Linked DNA regions of Saccharomyces cerevisiae S288C. The main gene of each other region encodes a partner of the protein of the gene in region 2 in a complex. Each region holds a gene or a part of one and is shown on either strand. Other genes may lie near its edges. A codon is read from its position in the direction of its gene.

Evidence for each region.
Region 1: the proteins of PEX4 (region 2) and PEX22 are in contact, whole or in part, in a crystal structure (PDB 2Y9M), measured with the Saccharomyces cerevisiae proteins. Residues at the interface, in NP_011649.1 of Saccharomyces cerevisiae: Leu103 (codon at 2,365), Ser109 (codon at 2,383), Asp151 (codon at 2,509), Asp153 (codon at 2,515), Ile154 (codon at 2,518), Asn156 (codon at 2,524), Ile157 (codon at 2,527), Cys160 (codon at 2,536), Asp162 (codon at 2,542), Met163 (codon at 2,545), Ser164 (codon at 2,548), Ala165 (codon at 2,551), Gly168 (codon at 2,560), Ile169 (codon at 2,563), Lys171 (codon at 2,569), Tyr172 (codon at 2,572), Ala175 (codon at 2,581), Glu176 (codon at 2,584), Arg179 (codon at 2,593); in NP_009346.1 of Saccharomyces cerevisiae: Glu84 (codon at 1,130), Val85 (codon at 1,127), Val86 (codon at 1,124), Thr109 (codon at 1,055), Lys110 (codon at 1,052), Asn111 (codon at 1,049), His113 (codon at 1,043), Lys114 (codon at 1,040), Ile116 (codon at 1,034), Tyr117 (codon at 1,031), Cys118 (codon at 1,028), Asp119 (codon at 1,025), Ser120 (codon at 1,022), Asp122 (codon at 1,016), Gly123 (codon at 1,013), Leu124 (codon at 1,010), Ser126 (codon at 1,004), Cys127 (codon at 1,001), Arg129 (codon at 995), Arg130 (codon at 992), Leu131 (codon at 989), Lys133 (codon at 983).

What each region holds. Positions count from the first base shown.
Region 1 is NC_001133.9:40,240-43,555, reverse strand, and holds PEX22 (ubiquitin-protein transferase activating protein PEX22), read right to left. Parts: upstream 1,380-3,316; coding exon 837-1,379; downstream 1-836. Other genes in the region: ACS1 (acetate--CoA ligase 1), read left to right, coding at 1-675; GPB2 (Gpb2p), read right to left, coding at 1,655-3,316. UniProt on the Saccharomyces cerevisiae protein: Involved in peroxisome biogenesis.
Region 2 is NC_001139.9:754,838-758,117, forward strand, and holds PEX4 (E2 ubiquitin-protein ligase peroxin 4), read left to right. Parts: upstream 1-2,058; coding exon 2,059-2,610; downstream 2,611-3,280. Other genes in the region: FHN1 (Fhn1p), read left to right, coding at 1-413; prohibitin subunit PHB1, read right to left, coding at 752-1,615; CCR4-NOT core subunit CAF130, read left to right, coding at 2,933-3,280. UniProt on the Saccharomyces cerevisiae protein: Catalyzes the covalent attachment of ubiquitin to other proteins. Essential for peroxisome biogenesis. Required for UBC4-independent ubiquitination of PEX5.

The DNA.
Region 1 (3,316 bases), on a different chromosome or scaffold from region 2:
AAACCGGGTTCTGCCTCATTCCCCTTCTTCGGTATTGATGCAGTTGTTCTTGACCCTAACACTGGTGAAGAACTTAACACCAGCCACGCAGAGGGTGTCCTTGCCGTCAAAGCTGCATGGCCATCATTTGCAAGAACTATTTGGAAAAATCATGATAGGTATCTAGACACTTATTTGAACCCTTACCCTGGCTACTATTTCACTGGTGATGGTGCTGCAAAGGATAAGGATGGTTATATCTGGATTTTGGGTCGTGTAGACGATGTGGTGAACGTCTCTGGTCACCGTCTGTCTACCGCTGAAATTGAGGCTGCTATTATCGAAGATCCAATTGTGGCCGAGTGTGCTGTTGTCGGATTCAACGATGACTTGACTGGTCAAGCAGTTGCTGCATTTGTGGTGTTGAAAAACAAATCTAGTTGGTCCACCGCAACAGATGATGAATTACAAGATATCAAGAAGCATTTGGTCTTTACTGTTAGAAAAGACATCGGGCCATTTGCCGCACCAAAATTGATCATTTTAGTGGATGACTTGCCCAAGACAAGATCCGGCAAAATTATGAGACGTATTTTAAGAAAAATCCTAGCAGGAGAAAGTGACCAACTAGGCGACGTTTCTACATTGTCAAACCCTGGCATTGTTAGACATCTAATTGATTCGGTCAAGTTGTAATGATGATTTCTTTCCTTTTTATATTGACGACTTTTTTTTTTTCGTGTGTTTTTGTTCTCTTATAACCGAGCTGCTTACTTATTATTATTTCACCTTCTCTTTTTATTTATACTTATAATTATTTATTCTTTACATACTGTTACAAGAAACTCTTTTCTACATTAATTGCATAAAGTGTCAATCAGCACATCCTCTACATCGCTATCAACAACAAATTTGACAAACCTGCCTATATCTTCAGGAACGACTGCTGCATCGCTACCACCACTACTTGTGAAGTCCCTGGAGTTCAATATGCACTGAAATTTACCTAGCCGTCTTACACATGACCATAATCCATCCATGCTATCGCAATATATGATTTTGTGTTCGTTTTTCGTCTTGCGAAAGGCATCCCCAATGGCTTGTTTCATTGATCCATCAGTGTGGCTCGTAGGTACCAGCAAAACCACTTCATCAGCGGCGTACTCCTCCCACTTTATGGGCAGTCCTTGTATCGACTTGCTCATTATAATACATTTGCTCTTCCTTGCCTTTTTGTTCTCTTTTACTGAATCACCCTCTGGAGGTCGTGCCCCATTATCTTCCTTTGCACTTGTCACCTTTTGATATATATAGTAGGACGTGACCAACACTGCTATAGCTGTACCCACTATTCCTAATGTTCTTGTTTTGTTTATTCTACTTCTTGATGGTGGTGGCATGTTTTATATCTTCTTCTTCTTTATTCTTCATTATTGTTTCATTGTCTATTTCATCAGCACAATCTTCCCTTATATTTTATTTTTTTTTTTTCGATTAATTGAATTAGGGGACTATGAACCTAATTGTTAATTTTTTGCCAAAATATTTCGCTGGTATTGCGAAGGAGATTATTCTTTGAAAGACAAAGTGTTATGTGACTATAAAACAAAACTGAATATATTATATTCTACTACTAAACAAAGTTTACAAAGTGAAAGCATTGAAAACTGCCTTTTTATGCACTAGGATTTACGCTAGGAAAAATACTTTTCGTTATGGTACCATGTAAATATATTTCTTTTACATTGCTCCGTCTAGATATCAATCCGCCAATCAAAATAATACTTTTGTCACATTGCAAAGAAGTGCCACCGACACCAACTACTATATTTGAATTTGTATCTTCATTTTCGCTATCTTGTCTGTCCTCATCGTCTTCCTTCTTGGACAGAGTAATTTTATGTTCTTCCCAACACTGCGTGCTTAAATCAATTGTGTTCAAAAAATTACCACCCAACGGTAATGTATCGACCTTGCGTTTTCGAGGAGGCTCATCATCATTCTCCGAGTAAAATTGGTCAACATCCTCTTGTACCATACCACCTATACATACACATATTCGTCCAATACTTTCCATTCTGTGGCCAACGAGACCTACGTTCACACTATCCAATTTTTCATCACCGTCTTCGCTCGAATCTGCCTTTGCAAATGTCTCTATTGGAGTCCATGTCTCACACTCTAAGTCCATCAACCACATATCATCAAGAACGTTGAGACCGTTAGACCCACCATGCAATACAACAGTTTTACCTACTGGCTTCTCTTGGCTTAAAATTAATCTCTGTCTCCCTATCGCAGTCATTGGAATAGATGACGATTTTCTCCCTGGATTGACTATATAATTTTCCAAATTATCGTCCATATCGGGATCAAAGCTCGCAGCACTTGCGCTGCTGGCCGAGGCACCAGCTTTGGGCGATTCTTGTGCCGCAGAGCCACTATTGAAAAGATCTTGATGCGTGCCATGAACCATCATGGGGAAAACCGGTTTAGGACTAACAACGCGATCCTGTGATATATATGACGGTTTTAAAACAAAATGGTTTTTTAAGTTGTTCAATAGTCTCATGTCAAGAGAACTCCTATCCATTAACGAAGTCCCATGAACAGAAAAGGCAGAAAAGGCTCTTTCTTCGGGCCAATCCGATTTGTCCTTTTCGCTTGGCGTCAGTAGTATCGCGTTAGCTGTCTCTGAAAACTTACAATAACCTTTTTTACCGCGACGTATCACGGGTATCTCTATCTTCCACAAATCATTCATTGCTTCGTAACGATCATCACCGGTTTGTCTGTAACCACCAAATATTATAACCGTGTGCACAGTATTATGAGGTAATGATGAAAGTACTGCTGCTTTTTCAAGCCGCCCGGAAGTGATGCTGCTACCTTGTTTCATGGAAGCACTCCCCATTTTATGAATTTCGTTCATGCTTGAAGAATGAACGCTAGCTCTCCTATTTGGATTATCAATAGAAATTTGTAAGTGACCAAACCTCGATGACATTGTCGGATATGCATTATATTTGGAAGGTTGTACTATGATATCTATTTTAGTGAACTTGAACGACATAATATCGAGTATGTAACCAGTGTTATTCACATATAATCTTTTCTTGAGATGATACTTCCCATTTTCATCACCACGGGTTTCTGTCCTGATTTCAAATCCGCCATAAAAGAAAATATGTCGGTCCGTTAATTTGGATCCTTGAACACATAGCAATGGAGGCGGTATATAACCCCCCATTTTAGGTTTGCTAAACCGGCATGATGGTATAGAAGCGACATAAAGATGAGGATTATTGACCATTGATGGATTATTAATCACTTGAGG
Region 2 (3,280 bases):
TGAACTTTTGTATGTTTGCCGCCGTTTATGGTCTGGTTACGGATTCATTATATGGGTTTTTGGCTAATTTCTGGACATCATTAACATACCCAGCAATTTTGCTTGTTTTGGATTTTTTAAATTTCATATTTACGTTTGTAGCAGCCACCGCTTTGGCTGTAGGTATAAGATGCCATTCGTGTAAAAACAAAACATATCTGGAACAGAATAAGATCATACAAGGCTCAAGCTCCAGATGTCATCAATCTCAGGCTGCTGTTGCGTTTTTTTACTTTTCCTGTTTTCTATTCCTCATCAAAGTGACTGTGGCCACGATGGGTATGATGCAAAATGGTGGATTTGGCTCTAATACCGGATTCAGCAGAAGGAGGGCAAGAAGACAAATGGGCATACCTACAATTTCCCAGGTTTAAGCCTACTGGACTGAAAAAAAGGCAATTCGCGTACAATTTTCGTTGATCGTTCTTTATATAACCTTTGCATTAAATAAATTTAACAAAAAAAGTTCTTTCTAAAATAATATTATGGTGATACATGAATGTGCTTTAGTTTTTTCGTAGGCTCATCCATGTATATATATAAATGATAAAAAACTAAGTTACGATATTGATAGCATACGTATTCGTGTTGGTAACTAAATGGAAAGATGGAATATGTTATTGGCGTTGTTATCCCCCATATATACAGGTTTCTAATATGATTAAAAAAAAATTTTCTCCCCTAGTTTATTGTGTTCATAGCTTTTCCAGACTTAACGGCCAATGTTCAAAAGCAAGGAATTTGGTGATCCCGAAGACTCGCTGTTACCACCACCAGAATGTTGACTTGGTAAATAGACAACGTTAGATGAGTTTGCTAATGTTTGAGCGATGTCCTTAGAAGCTTCTAATCTTCTAATCAATAACAGACCATCACCAACTTTAGCTAAGGCTTTTGAAATGAATTCAGCACTTTCTGCTTCACCTTCAGCTCTGATAACAGAAGCTTGTCTCTCTTGCTCTGCCTTTTCGACAAGGAATTTGGCTCTTTCGGCATCTTGCTGTGCAATCTGCTTCTGCTCAACTGCTTTCGTGAATTCGGGACCAAACGTCATATGAGTGATAGAGACATCTTCCAACTTAATACCGAATTCGTTGGCCCTCGTAGAAAGCTCTTTTCTGATTTTTTGAGAAATAATTTCTCTCTGAGTAATTAACTCAGCAGCATCAAATTGAGCTACTATAGACTTTAAAACCTCATTGCCGATAGATGGTAACACTCTTTCGTCGTAATCGAGACCCAAATTTTGGTATATTGCGGGTAGCTGTAAGACCTCTGGTCTATGTAAGACTCTCAAGGTCAATGACACCATTTGCAAATCCTTCGTACCAGTATTGGTAGCAATGCTCTTTGGTTTCGTCCTCACATCGTATATGATCGCCTTCTGTAGCCAAGGCACCAAGAAATGAGTGCCTTCACCCACAACCTGTTGCTTTACACCATTGATTCTGTCGAAAATAACACCACGAGAACCACCCTTCACATCATACATGGAGTACTGAATCCCGCTAGCAATTATACCAATGGGCAACGCCACCTTGGTGATGACATCGATAAGTTTGGCAGAATTAGACATTCTTTTCTAAAGTAAATTATTGATTTTGAATGTAAGTTTCGTACCGTTGATGGTTGGTTTACCGATTTATTTTTTTTCCTCTTCTTTCTGCTTAATATTATATACCTCAACCGTTGCATCCATGAGATCGTCAAACTCCCTTTCCCTGAAATTTATTGATGCGATACATTCGCGTTACCCGTATCATCATGAAGACGAGTTTATTCTCATCAGTGTTGATCTCTCATACTTGAATAACTCATTTGCAATGGTCTAAGACTCCAACTATGTAGTCATAGTCATTCACTGAAGTTTCTCTTTTCGAAATCCTGAACGGAAGCGGAATATATGTGGTATATATCGCATATTACTGCTTCACAGCATGCAGCGCAGACTGGCCGGGTTATGCTGCCACTTACTGGAGACAACATAAAATATACATAATCATCGCCTTTATACATAATATGCCAAACTTCTGGATTCTTGAGAATCGTAGGAGCTATACGTCTGATACATGTATGTCGAGGATCGTGAAGGAGTACAAAGTCATACTGAAAACATTGGCCAGTGATGACCCCATAGCGAACCCCTACCGGGGGATAATCGAGTCACTTAACCCGATTGACGAAACCGACTTGAGCAAGTGGGAAGCTATAATTTCTGGGCCGTCAGACACACCTTATGAAAATCATCAGTTTCGAATACTAATAGAAGTCCCTAGTTCCTACCCCATGAATCCACCAAAGATAAGTTTTATGCAGAACAATATTTTGCACTGCAATGTTAAATCAGCCACAGGAGAAATATGTCTGAACATCCTTAAACCAGAGGAGTGGACTCCTGTATGGGATTTGTTACACTGTGTTCATGCTGTTTGGAGACTCCTAAGGGAACCCGTTTGTGATTCTCCACTTGACGTAGACATTGGTAATATCATCCGCTGTGGCGATATGAGTGCCTATCAGGGGATTGTAAAGTACTTCCTAGCAGAAAGAGAGCGGATCAACAACCATTGATACCACGTAGGATGGATGTGTTCGAATGGCAAACAATGGGCCCTCACTTTTATCTGATGCAATTTCTACCTTACCCGGGCAGCGCCAATTTATGAATACAAATACTTTAACAAATTGCACTATTGATGTATTGACACATTTGTATATACATATACATATATTAATAAGGAGCACGAATTTTTGACAAGTAGTGCACGCAATATCTACATTAGTTAGCTTTTCCATTGACGCTGAATTTTATTTTGGCAGCCCAGTAGATCGTTGAGGAGCTTTTTTCAAACACTTTTTCTCTCTTAACTCCACATACTTACGTAAGAAAGTGATGACGAAAAAGAAAGCAGCTACTAATTATGCTGAAAGGCAAAATTTAGCCAGTGAAGATTCTTCAGGTGATTCGGTTCATTTTAAGGACTTTATTCCCTTACAAGAGTTACTGAAAGATAAAAATTATGTTCCATCGGTGGAAAATTTGGAGAAGATCTTATATAATGAAACCATGTTTAATGATCAGAAAATATGCTCTAACCTATTGCTTGAGGCTCTCATAATTACGTTGTTCACAACAATTTCAGGGAAGTCAGCTTTACGATTAATTCAGACTTCTTCTTTGAAGGAAAGAAAATCCTGGGCCCAGTCCTTTGAAAATAACAGTTCTAGCTATGCTTCCATA